Daphnia pulex: one gene and its partners. The protein of the gene in region 2 binds, or shares a complex with, the protein of the main gene of each other region. Links are inferred from orthologs where the notes say so. Each region holds a gene or a part of one and is shown on either strand. Other genes may lie near its edges.

What was found. The genes of interacting proteins can lie anywhere in the genome.
Region 1: the proteins of regulatory-associated protein of mTOR-like (region 2) and lateral signaling target protein 2 homolog are in contact, whole or in part, in a cryo-EM structure (PDB 9F43), measured with the Homo sapiens proteins. The link is inferred for Daphnia pulex from reciprocal best matches to the Homo sapiens genes RPTOR and ZFYVE28. Residues at the interface, in NP_065812.1 of Homo sapiens: Arg54, Arg305, Arg306, Thr317, Asp321, Phe337, Arg338, Leu341, Ala344, Arg348, Leu437, Gln438, Leu440, Leu441, Ser442, Gln443, Arg446, Pro474, Tyr475, Lys478, Leu479, Gln481, Ser482, Ser483, Ala484; in NP_066023.2 of Homo sapiens: Arg399, Val400, Phe401, Phe402, Met403, Asp404, Asp405, Val406, Glu407.
Region 3: regulatory-associated protein of mTOR-like (region 2) and target of rapamycin complex 2 subunit MAPKAP1-like share a complex: the UniProt entries of both Homo sapiens proteins name them as parts of the mechanistic target of rapamycin complex. The link is inferred for Daphnia pulex from reciprocal best matches to the Homo sapiens genes RPTOR and MAPKAP1.
Region 4: the proteins of regulatory-associated protein of mTOR-like (region 2) and serine/threonine-protein kinase mTOR-like are in contact, whole or in part, in a cryo-EM structure (PDB 6BCU), measured with the Homo sapiens proteins. The link is inferred for Daphnia pulex from reciprocal best matches to the Homo sapiens genes RPTOR and MTOR. Residues at the interface, in NP_065812.1 of Homo sapiens: Phe278, Lys282, Cys283, Ser285, Leu286, Pro288, Gln380, Ala381, Asp383, Leu384, Asp387, Glu411, Gln412, Thr414, Ala415, Val418, Trp419, Thr421, Met422, Arg427, Asn428, Glu431, Gln432, Lys973, Ile974, Asp979, Leu980, Glu981, Ser982, Lys986; in NP_001373429.1 of Homo sapiens: His597, Thr600, Pro632, Val644, Ser645, Gln646, Thr647, Ala648, Val649, Ala653, His686, Ala688, Gln689, Glu691, Met721, Asn722, Pro723, Ala724, Phe725, Met727, Pro728, Phe729, Arg731, Lys732, Leu734, Ile735, Leu738, Thr739, His743, Tyr771.
Region 5: regulatory-associated protein of mTOR-like (region 2) and rapamycin-insensitive companion of mTOR-like share a complex: the UniProt entries of both Homo sapiens proteins name them as parts of the mechanistic target of rapamycin complex. The link is inferred for Daphnia pulex from reciprocal best matches to the Homo sapiens genes RPTOR and RICTOR.

What each region holds. Positions count from the first base shown.
Region 1 is NC_060024.1:11,063,000-11,066,973, reverse strand, and holds the start of lateral signaling target protein 2 homolog, read right to left. Parts: upstream 2,801-3,974; 5' UTR 2,357-2,800; coding exon 2,321-2,356; intron 2,245-2,320; coding exon 2,098-2,244; intron 2,033-2,097; coding exon 1,901-2,032; intron 1,836-1,900; coding exon 1,198-1,835; intron 1,121-1,197; coding exon 709-1,120; intron 637-708; coding exon 1-636. Other genes in the region: uncharacterized protein LOC124199533, read left to right, coding at 3,324-3,427, 3,500-3,662, 3,747-3,878. UniProt on the Homo sapiens protein: Negative regulator of epidermal growth factor receptor (EGFR) signaling. Acts by promoting EGFR degradation in endosomes when not monoubiquitinated.
Region 2 is NC_060017.1:2,265,809-2,269,822, reverse strand, and holds the start of regulatory-associated protein of mTOR-like, read right to left. Parts: upstream 2,801-4,014; 5' UTR 2,562-2,800; coding exon 2,376-2,561; intron 2,240-2,375; coding exon 2,137-2,239; intron 2,067-2,136; coding exon 1,945-2,066; intron 1,874-1,944; coding exon 1,442-1,873; intron 1,371-1,441; coding exon 1,062-1,370; intron 991-1,061; coding exon 682-990; intron 628-681; coding exon 220-627; intron 147-219; coding exon 1-146. Other genes in the region: uncharacterized protein PB18E9.04c-like, read left to right, coding at 3,205-3,381, 3,441-3,528, 3,588-4,014. UniProt on the Homo sapiens protein: Component of the mechanistic target of rapamycin complex 1 (mTORC1), an evolutionarily conserved central nutrient sensor that stimulates anabolic reactions and macromolecule biosynthesis to promote cellular biomass generation and growth.
Region 3 is NC_060023.1:2,534,797-2,538,259, forward strand, and holds target of rapamycin complex 2 subunit MAPKAP1-like, read right to left. Parts: upstream 2,281-3,463; 5' UTR 2,157-2,280; coding exon 2,117-2,156; intron 2,059-2,116; coding exon 1,972-2,058; intron 1,901-1,971; coding exon 1,315-1,900; intron 1,249-1,314; coding exon 950-1,248; intron 890-949; coding exon 552-889; 3' UTR 501-551; downstream 1-500. Other genes in the region: uncharacterized protein LOC124198557, read left to right, coding at 1-412. UniProt on the Homo sapiens protein: Component of the mechanistic target of rapamycin complex 2 (mTORC2), which transduces signals from growth factors to pathways involved in proliferation, cytoskeletal organization, lipogenesis and anabolic output.
Region 4 is NC_060027.1:5,106,129-5,110,155, forward strand, and holds the start of serine/threonine-protein kinase mTOR-like, read left to right. Parts: upstream 1-1,227; 5' UTR 1,228-1,440; intron 1,441-1,556; 5' UTR 1,557-1,563; coding exon 1,564-1,656; intron 1,657-1,734; coding exon 1,735-2,001; intron 2,002-2,084; coding exon 2,085-2,183; intron 2,184-2,248; coding exon 2,249-2,442; intron 2,443-2,501; coding exon 2,502-2,697; intron 2,698-2,763; coding exon 2,764-2,925; intron 2,926-2,986; coding exon 2,987-3,156; intron 3,157-3,218; coding exon 3,219-3,390; intron 3,391-3,453; coding exon 3,454-3,724; intron 3,725-3,797; coding exon 3,798-3,917; intron 3,918-3,994; coding exon 3,995-4,027. Other genes in the region: RING finger and SPRY domain-containing protein 1-like, read right to left, coding at 34-100, 159-344, 408-573, 631-869. UniProt on the Homo sapiens protein: Serine/threonine protein kinase which is a central regulator of cellular metabolism, growth and survival in response to hormones, growth factors, nutrients, energy and stress signals.
Region 5 is NC_060019.1:11,217,447-11,221,660, reverse strand, and holds the start of rapamycin-insensitive companion of mTOR-like, read right to left. Parts: upstream 2,801-4,214; 5' UTR 2,668-2,800; coding exon 2,631-2,667; intron 2,507-2,630; coding exon 2,447-2,506; intron 2,371-2,446; coding exon 2,205-2,370; intron 2,142-2,204; coding exon 2,010-2,141; intron 1,945-2,009; coding exon 1,754-1,944; intron 1,689-1,753; coding exon 1,300-1,688; intron 1,231-1,299; coding exon 921-1,230; intron 854-920; coding exon 516-853; intron 455-515; coding exon 338-454; intron 260-337; coding exon 77-259; intron 8-76; coding exon 1-7. Other genes in the region: NAD(P)H-hydrate epimerase, read right to left, coding at 3,283-3,406, 3,472-3,553, 3,636-3,892, 3,956-4,072, 4,145-4,214. UniProt on the Homo sapiens protein: Component of the mechanistic target of rapamycin complex 2 (mTORC2), which transduces signals from growth factors to pathways involved in proliferation, cytoskeletal organization, lipogenesis and anabolic output.

The DNA of each region.
Region 1 (3,974 bases), on a different chromosome or scaffold from region 2:
GAAATGTGTCACGTGGAACATGAAGCATCGATTGCAGACGCGGACGGGCTTGACGTGGCCGTAGCGAGGTAAAGGGACAGCGTTAGCACTGCACTTGCCGCAAAAGACTTTCCCACAATTTCGGCAATGATGGCGACGGCGAACGACAGTGAAAACCGATTGACAGGACATGCAGTGTGGCGCCGACTCGTCGGGAATCCAGGCCGGTGGCGTCGAAAGCTGCCCGTCAAGTGGGAATGTGCTGCTGGGGCTGCCCGAGTACGGAGCTACTGTGGTGGCCCGATGCATAGTCAATGGAGGCGTTCCATCCGATGTCTGACTCAGACTGGACGGTGGCGTTTGATCCAGCGAATCCGTTTCGGCGTGATCCGGTTGAAGCAGCCCACTGTCATCGTCGTCGACAGGTGACCCGTCTGGCGACGGTGTCGATTGGCTAAGGCGGAAAGGCACGTTGCTCGGTAGCGAGCTTCGTCTCTCCTCTTCGGACGTCTCCTGCTGGAACTGCTGGCCAGGGAATGTCAAGAATGAGCTGTTGTTGACGTACCAGGCGTCATCTAGCAATGACGCCGAATTGCCGCTGTCCACCTCCTCTTCTCCTTCTTCAGCTTCTTCCACTGGCTCCTCCTCCTCTTCCGTCTGCATGAAAAAATGCACAAGTTTATGATTAAACTGTAAACAACAAAAGCGGGCTAGTAATGTTATTCTGACCGGGGAGGCGTTAATTAGAAAAACAGCCTTGAGGATGGCGCGTAGATCTGATGCGAAGTTGGTCTGCAGCTGATCCGCCACGCCAGAAATGCAGACAAAGAGTCTGTGGATCAAGTCTTCGCTGCTTTTAAATCGGCCCCGAATTTGATTCCGTGAAGCGATTTCGGCCGCTTGCAGGGCCAGCGCTATTTCTTCGTCATCTTGACACTCGGAGGCGGCGGACGTGACAGAGGAGCTGTCGCTATTCGTACCGCATGCTGACGACGTCGTACTAGAACACGAGCTGGTATCGCCTTCGTCATTGGTCCTTCGCTCAACTGTGTGACCAGTCCGGCCTTGGTCTGCGTTGGCCACTTCCGCGGGAGCCGCGTTACTACTGCTGTTGTTCTTTTGTGACAGCTTTCCTGCCACTCTGAATGATGAACGACAATGTTGGCTATTAGGGGGGAAATGGGAAACAAGAACGAAAACAAAATGCAATTGATTTACCTCTGAGTGGTTGGGTAATCCTGATGAAACTTTGTTATGTACTCATCCGTCTTGCACATGGGGTAAGTGCCAGATGAGTCCGACGTCGGAGTTGGGTCCGTGGAACAAAGAGCCTTTTCGAGGAGCTGCAGTTCTTGGCTAGTTAGGGTCCACAGCAGATCGCGAATTTTACACAGTAGATTACGGAAAGGTCGGAAGAGTTCAGACAGCTGCCTTTGAAGATTGAGTGGTCCGTCAGGAAGAACGAGAAGACCACAAACGATGGCAAGCCGCGGGATAGTGAACATCAGCGCGGGATCACAGGCGTCTACCAAGTCTTGGGACAAAAGTCCCAGACTCAAGGCACGTTGTAACGTCTCAGAGAACAGGACAATAATGTCCTGCTGGTGGTTGTACTCGAGCGCTGTTTTAACTGGAACCATAGCGCTGACGTAACTCAGCTCAAATTCAGCGAAGAGCCTATCGAACAAGCATAGGCTTTCGCGTAGCTTGTCGGGAAACTCCATCGAGTTACGGAGGCACTGCTCACGTAGTTGTTCCCGCACCGTCTCCAGCGATTTGGCCAACGCTTTCGCCAAAGGACGCATCACTGCACTTTCCGTTTCTCTATTTAAAATACTTGAACCAGCTGCCAGGCACTGTAAGACAAAAAGAAAAAATGTGATGAGCATGAATTAAGGAGACTAAAACATCAACAGCCAACCTCAGCACCGAACCATAACTGGCCAGCTAGGTTCTCTTGCAACACATCATCAGGAAACTTGGATCTGAAATCCCTGCATGCTCTGTCGATGGGCATCACTTCGTCCATCAACTGACTGCATATTGTCAGCACCTGAAAACGATGACCAAGGTGAAAAATCAATATCACAATTTTCAAGGCTACAAAACTTATCGTACCTTGTCCTGGCACTGCCTTAGCTGGTAAACAAGCGATGCACACCGTTCTGGGTCTTTCCTTCCATCGAAACTATCCAATTCAGTGGCCACTGCATTAAGCTCCTCATCTGCATAGTAAAACTGGGCCAGCAAAGATGTATCATGTTTCTATTGGGAAATGGAAAAGAAATGGCCACATTAAAAACAGGTCTTGGTTGGTGGACAAAATCCTAGACTGAAGAACCTTTGGTTTGTAGAGCCACTTTCGGAGTGAATTCATTTTAATACAGACACAATCTCGTGGGGAACACTCACACTCAACTCCCTCTTCTGTGCGAGGGGTTGATTTCTAGGTTTGGTACAAATTCACCAGCTCACAGCACTACAGCAGCTCTCATTCTCACGACCAAAAACAGAGAGAAACAAGGAGAAACAGACGGACGCAACTAATCATGACGGCGATTCGCTTTCTCTTGTAGAAAACGTCAACCTGTCTGAGTCATCCTCCCTCAAAAACACTGGTCTTATCACTCTCTTGCACTTTGCTCTGTCGTCGGGATTCGACACAAAGAAAGATTACCGATATTCGAGAGGCGAAAATTTAGAACACCTTGGAGGCCACTGGTAAATAAAAAAAAAAGGTTTTCAATGCCAAAGAGAGAAAGAAGTGGGCATTGCAACATACACACACAGTTCTTCTCTCTTGCAATAGTCCCTCGGCAATTGTTCGCTAGGTGGCTAAACCACCAAGTTCAATATATTGCCGCTAGATGTCTTAACTAAAAGAATCGCCGCTTTCTTTTTTAAAAAACTAGTCCGTACGTGTTTAGGTGGAAATTGGAGATTCAAATGCCAATCACTACAATATGTGCATATACCGTCAATCTTTCAATCCAATCAAGTAAAGTTTGACGACTTTATTCCCCTTCAAGTTCTGATCCCAAAGTTATCAATGGACAGCTGATTTTCTATCAACCCTCAGAAAATTGAATCAACGTCCCAGGCGGAGACTAGCCACTAGATATACTATGTACACAGTAGAGAGACGTTGGTTTAAAATTAGCCACCAACCACAAGGAGCTGGACGAAATGTCAAGAACTCGTGTCAGGCTGAACTTGTGTCACCGAAAACTTTTCGAGTCAAGATCGCCGACTGAATATCAATCAAAAACACAATCTTGAGGATATTTGGACGGTATATATAAAGCCCAACGGCGATGGAGTGGAACAAGCCACAACATCACTCGATGTTCATCAATCAGTACGTTCGATACTCTTCTTTTGCCATGGCTGTCCGTCTGTATTTCGTCCTGCTCCTAGTCGTCGTGTCCGCCATGGCCCAGACATTTCAGTTGAGTTCCATTCGATTTCACTTTGTTCACAAATAATTCATTTCCCCGCCAATCTGATTGCCCGAGTGCAGGTACAGCAGAGGCTGGACCAACGGTCGCAAACGTTCCGATCCTTCTTTCGTCCAGCAGCAGCAGCAATGGATCCAGCGCAATGGACACCCCATCGTCGTCCCTGCAGAATTCAGGAGCAATTCCTTCGAGGATTGGAGCCGTTACAGAGTCAACAGCGAAAAGGTATTTCTTATAGTGTGTTCTTGCGTCACTTTTTCTAAAAAGGGATTTCATGCTCATTTCGGTTGGTTGCCATGACGACAACAGGTGAACGAGGACGGAGATTCTTGGCTCGTCCACGTTAGCCATTGCGCCAAATTGGCCACGTCGCTGGGCTCCGTCTTGAAGAACAAGGACGCCAAATCCGACGACAACCCACTCATTGACGTTATTCATTAAGATTATATTTATAGATATAATATTTTGTGTGTGTGAAAAAAAGAAATTCGTCCTCGTTCAATTGAAATGCCCACACGACAAAATTGCGTGTCTACG
Region 2 (4,014 bases):
CGAACCAAAGGACTAGCTTCCGAGTTCACAACATTCACCAGTTGTAAGGCCACTGCGTGATCAATTTTGTTGGCAAGTTCATTTCGTTCCGTCTTTCCTCCACTATGGATAAACGTTCCTAGGGCATAAGCAGTGGCCGCTCGAACCTTAACATACATAAACAAATAAGACTGAAATTCGACAGATTTAATGTCATATAATCAACAATGTTGTAAATACCTCAGGAACAGAATCTCGCAACAACGGAAATAGTTTCTCATGAGCGGAGTCTCGAATTGCCGACCAACGAGCAGCTATAGCATTGTGCCAAGCTAAGCCAATTCCAATGACGATCCATTGTCTAAGTAATTTATCCTTTTCATAGACCATTTCCAGGGCATTCGAGATAAAAGCTACTTGAGAAACAGCATCCTGCCCGATAGGATGATTCCAGACCACTCTAGAAATCACAAAGGCGGCCAGCGTGCGCTGATCATCCGGCACGGAATTATCTTGAAGAACAGAGAGGAAATATTTGTGTCCTCCATCACGGACTAAATCCGCTTGACAGGTAACATCAACAGCAAGAATTTTCGTCCAGATAAATAGAAGTAATGGGCGCAGTTCCCGCGCAGAACTTTGAAGTAACTAAAACGAAGATTTCAGTTATCGAGTAGAACATATTAAAATAGAAAAGCAAACCTTTAAAACATATGGAAAAATGCCGACCGACAGCGCCAAATTGACAGCCCAAGGGCCTAAATCTAAAAATCGCCCCAAGAGTTCAAGTGCTCTTAAACGATGAACTTGACTTAAAAGAACTTGCAGAACAATAGGTAGTTGTTCTGGAGGAGATCTCTTTTGTGACCCATGCGAAAGCCAAACTTGGAAAGCCGTCAACTGTTCCTCAAAAAAAGGGGAATTCTGGAAGGTTTCCTTGCCTTCTAAAATGCCTGGTAGCTGTGAGAGGCAAATGTCAAGAGCTAAATCCCAAGCAGACCACATTGGGTGCTAAAATCAAAGAATGCCGAAATTATAAGACATTTAAATAATGTGAAAAGGTAACTTTAAATCCTAATAACCTGAGACGTAGGAGGCAACTTTGGCCAAGAGACTGGCGTGCAGTCATACGACTTAAGTATCCTTTCTGCTAAAAGGAAATTCCGGAAAAGACTAGCCACAAGAAGATCTTGTCTGAAAAGGCGCTGGAACACGTCCCGTGGAAGTGAATTCCAAGCAATCGTATCAGTTATAGCGGTAAAAATCCAATTTAATTCACCCAGCATAGTTCTGCGATCGTTAAGCTGCCCGGGGATTTTGTCGACTGATTCAAGTGTCATTCGGGGCACCAAACGGGAAGTATTTTGTAAAACAAACCATCGAAGTGCAATCTTTTGATATAGGGGAAAAAATGGAATAGTACATTAAATTTCCAATTTATCTTAAAACATATTCTAGTTACCTTAATAGGAGTTGTGAGACATGCAGTAAATATATCAGCTGGCAGTTCGGAATTCATAGGAAGAATCTGATTAGTTGCGCATGCAGCCAACTGAATGCACTGTTTGAAATTCGGAGGTGGTGTCATCTGAGAAGGCAATGTGTTTCTTGATTGAGCCATCAGTTGTTCGTACTCCCTCTGATGCTGATCCGCGAACTGTTGAAACGCGTCCACAATCATGCCAGCGTTTGAACAGTCAAATACGTAAATTGACGGAGACCACATCCAAGTTTGTAGGTCGTAAATCGAGAGCGGTATATATTGCGTATAACTGCGATTGAAGACCCAAATCTCTCCATTGGCAGTTGGTTTCGGAACGCCATGCCCATTGTAGTGAAACAGCACTCTTTCGTCTTTAGCATTTCTTCGGAGAGTAGATGTTACTTTTTTAATCTGACATTTATGAATTACAACATTAATCACAATTATTCTTTTCTAAACAAACAAGAATTTTTCGGTTGTACCTCATCAGCGGTAGGATCTAGAGTTTGCTTGTAGCGAGCACGGGGCTGCCACCTCTCATATTGCTTCTGAAGGTTGATGCCAATTGCTTCTAATGCTTTTTGTGGACTCATAGACAAAGGATCTACACATTGAGGAAAATTGCATTAAAAAAGCAACAACACTACACACACAACCCTTTACAAATCACATACCTATCCAGCATTCTAGCCTTGCACAGGGCTGAGTTTTAACTACATCTGGAGGATCTACTCCAACATTAAGGCATAATATCAATGCCACACTTACTGTTTTCATCTTGAATTTAAAAAAAATAAAAGAAATCCTATTTTATTAAGCCGTACATGCACAATTGTGTGGAGAAAAAATTACAAAATGCTATTTAAATTTTGATTTTGGACGGGAAAGGTAACTTAATAAATGCATGGGTTACCCGATCCTTTAATCTCCAGTTTTGAGCACAATCCTCTAATCCTTCAATTTTATCTGTGTGCCTTTCTGAAGAAAATGCTAATCCAATCGCCCAATCTTCATCTTCTTCATCTTGGCCCTGTTCATCGGGAGAAGGTGAACGTGATGGAGCACGCTGGAAAACCGAGAGCTCCCCCGACATGGTCATCTATTCAACGATTTATCAGATTTCTTATCCAAAAATTTAGATAAATCTGAAAAACCACAAAACAAAACGAACTCTTGATGAGCTACACATTCACCCGACTGGAAGTGACAATATATTCATATTATTACGACACGAATTCAAATTGTTTCTCTTGTTGTGTGAGTGCAGACGGATTTTGGTTTATTTTTTACGACGAAAAAATGAATCCAACACAACTACACAAGGTTGCCATTTTCTATTCGACATAAAATGGAAGCTATCTCATCATTCTCATGCCACAGGCACGCCACAGGCCCACAGAATTCGTAATCGTATACACCCCAATTTTTTTCCTTATTATAAACTTATATATAATTCATGTGTCTGTTTTTTTTAGTATGTTTACTCTCTGGCCCACCATTCCCCTTAAATGTCACCAAAAACAAAATTTACGGAAAAAGTCTGTCTGGTACTCTGGTTACTAAGGAGGTTACGCCTCTCTTAACAGATGTCTCTTCAATAGCGCCGGCTGCGGCGCCAAAACAGACCGAATTTCCATGAAAATTCTTGGTCATGAAGGACGCTTTTGAAAGCCAAAAGCCATTGAAAATTACATGAATAATTGTGTATTCGCTTTCTAATTGTCACATTGAAGTAAAAAGAAATGAACTGGAGTGGTGGATCCAAACACCGTTTCCGGCTAAATACTGAGATTCGTAAAACTGCCTTTCAACAACAGAGTCGCATAATTCTCGTTGACCTCGTGAAGCATGACGATCTTGAACAAACCGGTCAGATTTCCCCAATCAATGGACAGAAGTTTACAATGATTCCTCCTAAAGTAACAGCCAATTTAATGACACTAAAGATGGGAGTATTTATTAAATATGTATTTTGCAGGTAGAGGCAGTTTCAAATGATGATATCTCAATACGTCATTTTGGGATTGGAACTCCATTTCACAACATTCCTTGTGGATCTTCATCAGGTCTACATCAATACATTACTCGATTAAAAAATTTCAAATAATTGTGTTACTCTATATAGATACTGAAGGATCTGGCAATGATGACATATCAATAAGTACAAAATATAGTCCTGTTTCATTAGACCAGGAAAGTACAGCTGAGCATCACATAACAAGCACATCTGAAGAGGAACAAACAAAAGTTCCATTAAGTCACAAGGTTAATGAACTTTATGAGGATTCAAACCCTGGTGAGGTTCTTTTACTACAAGAAAGTTCACCGTCAGGATGTAGTTCATTTCTCAGCAACTCAAATGTTGAATGTCCTTCTCCACCTTATCTCAACCCAAATCCTTACTCTTCAACACCAAATTTGAGTTTTCTAACTCCCGTCATACATCGCGAGAACACTGTAAGACATTCAAGCAAAGATCGACGTTTTTGTCAACAAAATTGGGATAATTCCAACCTTCACAATTTACCGTACTTGACACCCCTTACCGACGA
Region 3 (3,463 bases), on a different chromosome or scaffold from region 2:
AGACATTCTAAACAAAGTTCTAGTTTCTACTGGAGATAAAGCTCATCAGAAATTTGAGAAACGAACAAGATCAGCCACAAAACAACTGAAGAATGAGAAGTTGCTGTGGAATGAAGAATACAAAAAGAGAAGAGAAGCCTATTTAGATGCAAAGAGTAAGCTTAAAGATGTCTTGAAGGGAAGAGTGCAAATTGAAACAGGCCGATTGAAATCTGAAGATGTAAAGTTTCTAAAGAGCTTACCAGATTTTGCAGCAGTCAACAAGAAAATTGTTTCATATCAAACACGCCACTACATAGGACTCGTACACCTGGAAAAAAATTCCCAACAACTACATCGGTCCTTATCAACGGTTGAGCGTCAACTAGACGAAGTTCAGAGCATGATAGTTCCAACTTTTCAATGGACATAGGACCTTCTCCCATTCCTTTCTGGATAACGACGTCTACAATAATCCTTTCTTCCGCTACATAATCCGCTATACTTTGTAAAAATTGACATTTCGCATTTTAAGGTTTATTAAACAAACAATTGAATTATTAAAATTTCTTTTAACGAATCAGGCTGGCTTTCTTGTTGACGTATGACATGTGATGGAGGTACTCCTGGCGGTAAAGTCCTCCCCGGATTTCTAATATGAATTTTAACTTCGCCACAACTTGTTCGATGGTCTTCGAGTCACACTCAATTCGCAAACGCCTCCATTTTCTTTTATCTGTGTCGTAATACATAATAGCAACTGATGCTGGCAATGTTTGCATAGGAACACAATCTACGATCACTTCAATAGGTAAACGGGTTGGTTTGAGATTGGGCCTTGACCACAGTAAAGTTGTTACAGACCGACTAGTTGGGCAAGGCTTGATCTCCACTTGGTCCCACGAAATTCCTGTGCGAAACGTTATTATTGGATTTGACATGGATAATTTATAACATTTTATTTATTTACCCAAAGTTATTTCCGTGTTTGGCCGAACTTTGTGTAGCAAAAATCCTTTGAACGAATGGTAGTCGGTAGATTCCAGAACAGCCCCACGCTCTTCTGGTTTCTCAGTGTTGAGTTGATCAACTGTTTTATTAGTCTCGACGTCTTTCTTCGCCTCCTTTGGGGGATTGGCAGAGCGAACCAAAGCCAGGGAGGTGAATCCAAACTTCCCAACAACTTCTTTAGGTTCTAGGCAAGGGAAATCGGCATCTGGACTTCCGTCGTCTTCGGCAATGAATAGTGCGTAATTATCCACAGATCCACTAATTGTAAAATATATACTGAACTTAATTAATCTAATTTTTCAAGGGCAAAATTTTAATATTTACGTTAAAGGAGGTTCTCTTTTTTCGTGGCTGTATTTGTAACAAACAAGGCCGATAAGTTCAGAAACCTTTGCCGAAGCCACAACACAAACGGTCATAGGAAAGTTGCGGTCTTCAGCACTTTGCATGCTTAAAAATATCCTTATTGTTCTTGTGGGTGCTCTCAATTGAGAATTCCCATCAAATTTTGCATACTCAATGAATGGCGAATCGGGATCCGAGGCGTGCTCAGCCATAAGTTTAGAAAGGGCAGATTTGGAATTCTGAGCAACCACTTCCTTCTTTTGAAATATCTTGGTCTTTTCACCTTGATCTAGATTGGTCAAATCTGGCTCTTTCCATCTAATGGTACTGATCATGGCGGCTGCTTGCTGTTCTTTCCTCATCTTCTCAAGCCTCACCACTGTGTTAAGCCTTCTCCTCCGAGTTCCAAAGTCATCATTACCATTTCCTAGAGATCTTGTGTGAATTCGTCCATCATCATCAAACTCTTCTTCTGAATCATCTAAATTTCCAAACCACTGTTTTTTACCCTCTTCTCTGATCTTCTTTGGTATATCAGCGTTCTGCAATATCATTTCGCACATGCCTGAATGGAGAGAAACAATGCAATCAGCACTATAGAAAATCAAATGTTCCAAAGAGAATAAAGTAACTCACCAGTATCATCTGAGTACAAGAATGAGTTTCTTACATGGGAAAGAATCCAATATTTGTTGTCATAAAACGCCATAATACTCTGTTGACCTAGAACCCAAATTCGATTTCGATTTGTACGCGCACCAATGAAGTAAGTATATCGTACTTTCGGATAGCGTAGCACTTAGATAATGTGTATAAAACATTGAAGCATTCTGTATTTTTCTTTTTTCATAGAGAAAGGAGACCAAACACCCAACTCTTGCTCTAATGTTATTGTTTTGCCTTTTTAGGGATTTAGTTTTAGGTTGTTTGACATTTTGATTGAGCTTCTGCTATGAGCGCAGTGTTGCCGCATCAAATCAACTGTCTGTTGCGCGAAAACGTCGGCAAAAATTAATAATTTTTTCGGCTAAATTTGTCTTCCATTCCATTTCTTAGATCTTCAAAAACGAATTGGGTAATGCTGTGAGTTTATTTCTTATTAACTTTTTCAGAAGCGAACACTATGTATGGTTCAATTTGATGGGCACGGTCGTATTGAAATTGGTCGAGAAAGAGGTAAAAATGTGTTTTGTTCTTTAAATACTACTTTAACATACTTATCTTTTTCTTTTACCATTTTAATAATGTTATGCCCCGCATCAAAATGATTTCTAATTATTTATTGTTAAATTAAATCATCGAGATCTTCATAATCATCAACACTGAATTTAACCAGAGCTTGGCGTGGTCGATGACGTCGTAGTTGAATCTGTGGTGCTTGTAACAGTAGTTGAGTCGGAAGTGCTTGTGACAGTAGTTGAATCTGTCGTGCTGGTTACAGTACTTGAATCGGTGGTGCTGCTGGCCGTAGTAGTTGAATCTTATTTTGGTAAATATTTTAAAAAATGTATAGTGATCTTAGAATTACGAATGTGGATTCATACTAAGTACTAACCTGATGTGGAAGTTGGCGTCGATCCTGTGGTTGTAGTCGCCGATGTAGTGGTGGAGGCCGGAGTGGTGGAGGAGGCGGTGGTTGAAGCGGCAGTAGTACTGGACGCAGCAGCGGTATTAGATCCTGGACAAACAACAACTCCGGCTGGAAGACAATTTGCGCCTTTCAAAGTGTAAGTAGCTGTCGAAGTTGTGGAAGTTGCGGTTGTCGTCGTTGTGTACACTGTCGATGTACTATAATCGTTCAATGTCATTTTATGATTGACGGTGATATTTTGAATTATGAATTTCTTAAGGAATATCGTGTACCTGGTGACGAGGACGGCCGGAGTCGGTTGCGGTCGGAAAATGCCACTGAAAATGTTGGAGAGAAGAGAAGAAAAGGCGTAAAAAGCGCCGAAAAGCGGATCTGCTACCCTGTAAACTGGCTGATCTGACGGTTTATCGAGCGACGACTGAATACTGAATGGGGAAATGAACTGCGGATTGGACTGGTAGGGGCGGATGGCCATTCCATTACGGTAATCGGGCAATGCGGAAGGCAGAACCCTATTTCAATTATTGACAAATACAA
Region 4 (4,027 bases), on a different chromosome or scaffold from region 2:
TCCTACAAACTAGTTATAATTATTATTTTTTACTTGTTTGAGCAAATTTCTCAAGAGCAATTAATGAAAACAGTACTACTGGTGGGTGGTTTGATGGATCCTAAAAGATATACATTGTTGAAAATAAAGTGAGACCAAAGATTGATTGTCAGACATACCAGGTTGGCTATAAGGTAATCCAATGTGCTGTCAGTTAGCAAAGCAACACTTGTAGGCCCAGCCAATTTTTCAGCAATGCAGCCCAATGCAATACAAATATTCCTGTGACGATTAGGATCTGATCTTCCCCTTTTACTAGCTTTAGCTGACAGCCAAAACATCCGGGGGACTTTAGTAATGGAATCCTGAAAAAAAAATGGTGAAAATTTAACCTAGCAACAATGTCTAACATATGATTAAAATCTTACCTTTGCTGGTAAGGCACAGTCATCTAGCACCAGAGTGATGACAGCAGGTCCAAGGGGTTCATTAATGGGTATTACATTAACCATGGAATGTAGAACAAGCAACCAACCATGCCCTTTGTTAGAAAGAGCTTGTAATCTTAACATTGAAGGAGGTGTTTCTTGATCACTAAACAAAGAAGGAATAATTAAAGTGGATACATAGGAACATATAATAAAAACATACTTTTCAACTAAATTTCCTATGACAGCTAATGTCTGCAAAACAAGACTGTCAATATGGGGTAGCATTCGCCTCAAGTGTGAGGCCTCAGATGCTGGTATAACATGAGATGGGAAACTTCTGTCTCTATCAACTGAAATATTAGATTGCAGTGGACTTGGGAGGCTGGCAGTTTCTGGTTGAGGCACTGAGAGAGAGGGTAGTTCCCCATCCTTTTCGTCACAACATAAGCATTGTCCCATTTTTAACTGCTTCAGTGGAAATTAAATTTGAACATGTTATTTGAGAGAGATCGTCACTATTCAAACGTGCAATTTGATCTCCATCTTAGTTAAGTTTATAAGTGGGTGTATATGGATTGACCAGGAATGGATTTGACGTTGTTCAACAATTAATTTCAGTAGCACTATTTAACCATGTTATAAATATGGATGGTAATCTAGTATTGAGAAATTCGATGAAAAAGGTATCGTCTGCTGCTTATAACGCGAACATAGATATCCGCTAGGGGCGCTTATAGGAGAGCCATCCTTTCACCGGACATCTAATAGTATCTAATGCCTAATGAGGAGTAACACAATTTGGAGTTTTCTTTTTCTTCCGTCAGATGTCGAAGTCCACAAGTTTGTTTATTAAAATAAGTCATACTGATACTGTAAAGTCTAATTAGTAATTACACGTTGTGGAATTCGCGTATTGCATATTCTTTTTAAAATAAGGCTTATCTTTTTTTGTCGAAGACAAAGAGTTATTTGATTGAATGGAAAAATAACATATAGTGTCCAATTTCAATTTTCGCTAGCGGGGTACGAGGTGATTGGCGACAGTTGACTTTGAATGTTTTCGAACTACTCCTTTGAGTTGTTGCTGATTATGCATTGAATTTATATCAACTGCTTCCTTTATTTTATCCTTTTTATTTATTTCAGTTACAGAATGGCAACCGGAATGATGCAAACATTCATCACTGGGCTTAGATCCAGAAGTGAAGATTTGAGACTAAAGGCTGCCCGAGATTTACACCATTATGTAAGAGAAGGATAAAGAGCTAAATGTTTAAGAAGGAAATAATATAGAATTGTTTTAATGTTGTCTTAATTTGTTTAGGTGACATCTGAGTTAAGAGAGGCATTGCAGGAAGATGTAATTTCATTTGTTGATGATTTGAATCACCATATATTTGACATGGTGTCCAGCTCAGATGTCAATGAAAAGAAAGGTGGCATTCTAGCCATAGTTAGTTTATTGCAAGTAGATGTTGGAAATACCAATGCCAGAATGACTAGATTTGCCAACTATTTGAAAAACTTACTTCCATCTCAGGATGTAGTTGTAATGGAGTTAACTGCAAGGGCACTTGGAAAATTGACACTGGCAAGTTAAACAAAAATCTAAATAGCCTCTACACATAATTAAAACAGATGATAAATATAGATATGCAATTTTTAATAAAACAGGTATCAGGAAGCTACACCGCGGAGTATGTGGAATTTGAAGTAAAACGAGCCTTTGAGTGGCTCAGTGGCGAGAGAAATGAAGGTCGTAGGCATGCAGCGGTAAGTTAAAAATAACATCATTAACGATATGTTGATACCATAAGTTTTAACTCAATTTCTCACAGGTGCTGGTTTTGCGAGAATTGGCTTTATCCATGCCAACTTTCTTTTTCCAGCAAGTCCAGACTTTTTTTGACGTTATTTTTTATGCTGTTCGGGACTCCAAACCAATGATTCGAGAAGGCGCAGTTGCTGCTTTACGCTCTGCTTTAGTCGTCACATCTCAGCGAGAAACTAAAGAAGCTCAAAAGCCTACTTGGTAATAAACAAGCTTGTACAAGTTTAACACATAAAGATATAGTATTAACCATTAATTAGGTATAAACAATGCTTTGACGAGGCCCAACAAGGTTTTGAGGAACCGTTAGCCAAAGATAAAGGACTAACAAAGGACGACAGAGCTCATGGATCTCTTTTGGTTCTTCAAGAGCTTCTACGTTGTTCGAATGCAGAGGGTGAACGACTTCTCGCTGAACTAGAGCAATTAAATTTACTACATTCACAGACTGTTCAGGTTGAATATGCCGATCTTTGTATGACCTGAGCAAATGCGATAATTCTCAATGATTTTTTACCAAAGGATTCTCTAATTTCTACAACTTCCCGAGTGTTGCCGAACGGTGCTGTTGAATTAATCAACACTCCTACACTTTACAATAATCTCCGGCTTTTGCCAGGGCATGTCGCTCAATCAAGGATAGCCAGCGCCGTGTCACCACTATCGATAGTTGCGCCCCAGCAGGTGATTTATAAAATTGATCGCAATACTTCCACTTACCTGAACGAATTTTCTATACAAACAGTACCCTATAGTTGAAAGCGCTGCATGCCGCCAATTGACTGCTGATCATTTTGATGAAATTTGTGCCAACACTCTTCGACATAGCATCTCAAAAAGCAGCCATGTACAAGCAGCTTTGATGGGAATTCTGCCTAGACTGGCTGCCTATGATCGAACCCGATTTTCTGATAGGTATTAAATTTTTGGAAAATTTCTTAAAATGACAAATGACCATACATACTTAATTTCCCCAGGTATTTGGGCCCTTCGATGAGCTACTTGATGGCGTGTTTGACCCGCAAAGAAAAAAATCCTCACCTTGCAATGATAACTATAGGTTATATAGCAGTGTGTATTGAAGGGGATATTGCCACACATCTCCCTGGCATTATTAGTTTTGTTCGGACTTCTCTACCTCAAAATAAAGTAGAGAAACTAAAGAGTGTAAAGAAGAAAAATTCTTTAATTTTCGAAACTTCTCCAAACTAGGACCCATCTTCTACCAAAAAACGCTCCAGTCCCCCTGATATTGCTGTTTTCGTCTGTCTAAGTCTGCTTGGCCGAGCCGTTGGTCGTTCTCATCTAACTAGTGAGTTCAAGGATCTACTGGATCCCATGCTGTCCGTTGGACTTAGTCCTGCCCTGACAACTTGTCTTCGTGAACTGGCCTTGAGAATTCCTCATCTTAAAAAAGACATTGCCGAAGGACTCTTGCGGATGCTTTCACTAGTTTTGATGCACCAACCACTTCGTCATCCAGGCATGGTTTTATTTTAAACAACGAATTTGGAAAAGTACATTCTACTTGAATTAATTTATCCATTCTATTTTAGGAATGCCAAAACATCATATGGCGCTCACTCCAGTGGCACTTCAACCACTACCATCGAATGGGGATGACGTCAATAGCATCGTTTTAGCTCTAAGAACGTTGGGGAGTTTTGATTTTCAAGGTTAAAAAACCAATTTATTTAAAATTCAATGAACGAGAGACGCAGATTTTTCAACATAATTTTGTTTGTGTCGCTAGGTCAACCACTACTTTTACAATTTGTTCGCCATT
Region 5 (4,214 bases), on a different chromosome or scaffold from region 2:
ATTCCAACTGTAAAAATAAAAATCGACCAAAAAATTTAATAACAAACCATAAATTCAAATAGAAGAAAAAGATTACCTCTTCAATAACTGTAAGAGAATCCATCAGATAACAACCAACGGTCGAATACAGACGCATACGGCTATTATTAAATTCGCATTGACAAAACTGATTGCTAGTGGGCTTGTAGAATTGCATTACCCGACGGAAAATCGATCTCAAATTCGAATCTTCCAACGCGCAAGAATTCATCTTACTCCACTAATAATAAATCAATAACAAGTTTATACAAAATTCGATTATTTAAGAAAAGATGGATTTCTATGAGATAATCTTTACCAAGAAAAGATTGGATAAAACGGACCAGTTCCAAATCAATGAATCTTTTTGCGCCAGGACTCCACAGTCTCGAGAAAGTGCTGAAAGAACGCTATCAGAATCTCTGCTGGATCTCATCTACAAATTCCAAATTTTTAAAATCTGATTTATTTTATAATGGGCGAACACAAATTCATACCTCTGATTCCATTTCTCCATTGGTCTGAAACTCCGTCTCGTCTCGATGGATGTTGGTTGCATTCTCCTCAGTTTTCTTGTATCTCACGGAGGAGTGTTTGTTGCACGATGCTCTTCTTTCTAATTCAACGATTTGTTTAAGAGCTAAACTGTAGGGAACGATTCCTTTTTTCTTAAGTTGGTGAATTTTGGAGAGGGCTGCTGCTGCTTGGGCGGCTCGGTGGCGTTTCACTGGGTCGCTTTTAAGTGACGTAATGCAGTCAACTAATTGAGGCAGACACATTTTTGTCCCGTGACAGGAGGGTGGCAGCAAAGTACTACTTAAATGCAATAACTCTCCTAAAAAGGAACAGATTCATAATTTAATAATAATAGTTAATATTTATTATATTATGCGAGAGTGTACCCAGCAAAATTGTTGCTCGGACCGATATAAAAGTGTCACTTGTCGTAATTACTTCCACAAGTGTCTGGACTAATCTGGCTTCAACCAAGCAGTAAACCAACAAGGCCATATGGTTTAATACAAGATTTGGTCTGAATTTGGAAATGTGCGGTAGTAGACATTTGCCTTCTGCAGCTACATAGCCTTCCTGCAGCTTCCAGGCGTCCTGTACACGGGACGGATCAGTAGCTAGAAGCGCTACGGAAAATTCGTCCGTCCATTCCGGCAGTGGTAACCGCAGAAGTGTATAGAAGAATTCCAACATTGATTTCTATATGAAAATGTAATTGTCATTTAATTATAAACCACCAAGCTATCCAATCAAGATGAAAGAACTTGCCCTGGTTTCCAAGTGACATGGGAGCAAGACTTTGACTAGGTCTTCAAGAATTTTGCAGCTCATAACATGTAATACTCCATTCCAAGACCTAAGAACTGTAAGCAGTGCTTGCTTAGCGCAGAGTAGACGAAGCTCACGATCATCTGTCGTAGTAGATGAATTGTTTCCTTCTCCTGCATCTATGTAGTGTCTATAGTGGAAATCACTATAGGGAGCAATCAGAAATCGCAGGTTTAATTTCGAAAGCTCACGTCGCGGCTCTGTGTCGAATAGGTAGAGTAGGGATGCCATCATAGCTTCTTGCATACGAGCAGAGGAGCAATCTAAAACAGCAGATGAGAAACATCGAACACCTCCGCTGGCAACGAACACGGATGGGTTTACGATACCTATAAATGGATTGAATTCAATGGATTGATGTCTTGATTTGGCTTTTAATAGAAATAAACCTTACAAAGTTCAGCTAGAATAGCCAAAGATGCTCGTACTAAACGGTCCTTTTCTTTGGTGCCATCAAAAGCAAGAGCTACAATTGAACGCGCCAGAGCAACAGGGAATGATGGTGGATCAACCAGCATCAATCTCCTACATAATCTCAAGGCTTGAGCACGTTCTGCCATGTTATCCACGAGCACATCCAGACACCTATTAGAGAACCAAAAGATATAGCTTAATATGCTTGTTCCTCTATATTTCATTCTTTATAATACTTTGCAATGAAGTAATGAAGATCTGCTTGAACCAATTTTTGTGCATATTCTTCATTTTTTAAGCACAGTCTAATTATCCTTAGACCAGCAGCTCTTACGGCTTTGCTGTCGTTGATCAAAGCAATTCGTAGACTGGAAAAAAAAGGATCTTTCAATACTGATACACAACAAAGTATATAACTCTTCTTTTGAGACCATATAAAAAAATCCAAAATGTCCAGTCCAATGCTGTCACAGCCTTTCTTCTCAATATGCTTTGAGATTACATTTAAAACCGATCCTATGTGTTGAGGTTTGCCAAGGGTAACAACATCTTTGCAGCACATTTGCAGCAAAGCATCCTTAATGCTGGGAGTCAGGTCTTGACATTTATAGTACAAGGAAGTCAGTCACCAATAAAACATAATAAAGTATTTGTCTATAAATTTGTAGTTTACCAGTTTGAGGGTTACCATTCACAATTGCTGAAGAAACTAGCACATCTGAAGTAGCATTTACTAGATGAAGAAACAGGATTCAAGATTAAATATCAAACAATGTAGAAAGCTTGCACACAAAACAGAAATACTGTAGGAAAATTAATTTCCTATAGTAAAACAAAAAAAATAAATAAAAATTTACGTTTGACAGTTCGCCCCAATCGTCGAGGCACCTCCATTTTCGAAGGTTGACAAACAACTGAGAGAATAAACGCGCGCGATTGAACTTTTTTGAATGCGAAACGTGTTCTCCCGTTCTATGAAGCAATCTAGATTACTAATAAGGGCTATGTTATGTATCACAAGAGAATGAATATAGCGTATTTGAAAGTTCCATTCACAACATAAACTTTTTAATTGATAATTTTTTTATAAAAGTCCATTATTAGAGAAAAATTTCTTTCACAAAAAATTAACATATATATTTTTCTTCTGAAAACGCGATCCATGAATATGATTTTAAAGTATTTTTTTTTTGTAAATATTAAAAAAAGCTTGTAAGATACTTGCGCATTGATGGATAGTTCAATTATTATTACTTTTACACCTTTACACCTGAAGAACCGGTATTAGCTAGTGAATAATCAGGTTGCTGACGGTAATATATTCTTCTGTGAAACGCGTAGCAAAGATTATGCCATCAGACAGCTGACAACTTTTTACCAAAAATCTTTTCAAACAAGATTTTATTAAAAATAATTTAATACTAATTAGTATAAAATAATTAATATGAAGACATTGCTTTTGAAATCGTGTATTTATTACGGCTCTGCTGGGCCCTGCTGATAAACATATTATAATCTTACGCAATTATGCGTTGAAGGATAATTTGGTAATTTTAGTTTGTATTTCGTAGCCAATGCAGGTGCAATAAAACGACCCCCTAAAAAATGGATCCCGTGGAAAAATCTTGCGCACCTGCCATAATCGACTTTAATTATTTTTGAACCAGAGATAATATGAACGTGAAGTAAATACTGTACAATTTCGGCGCAGACAAAGAAATAAGCATGGCTGGCTTTAAGGAATTATCTTGATCAAGTGGCCCATTTTCAACATCCCAGCCTGCAAGTACCAGACAATATTTAATAGCACACTTGTATGTATGAAAAATGCTAGCACAATAAGAACAAATGAATTCCTGTACCACTGGGAATATCAATACTGCAGCAGGGTGTAGACATGTGTAGCATATTGTCAATAATCTCAGTGAATTCCTTTCGGACAGGAGCTTTGAAGCTAAAGCCAAATAGTGCATCGACAACAAGTGAGTATTTTGAATTCAAGTCTTCAGTAGTTGGGCATGCTGTTAAAAATGGGATTTCAAACAGTTCACACTGCTTTGTAAGATTTTCATAGAGAGTCTTGGCTGTACGCTTGGGATAGAAGATTTCAGGACAGTAGCTATAAAAGAAATAAGAGACATGTAAAAAAAACTGCTGCTGCAAGTACCTCAGATTATAATACCCAAACATTTTCAAATGTCTTGCACAAACAAGTCCATCTCCTCCATTATTCCCTGGACCTACAACAATCAATACATTTTTGGATTCTGGAAATCCTTCTGCAATTGCTGATGCACAACTGATGAAAGAAAATAAACAACTAAATACAATCTACAGAAATTATTATTTTAAGGCTTATCAAGCTTTACACCTTAATCCTGCCAGTTCCATTAACTGTTCGACTCCAAAATAGTTGAAAAGCTCCACATCAAGTGCAATTG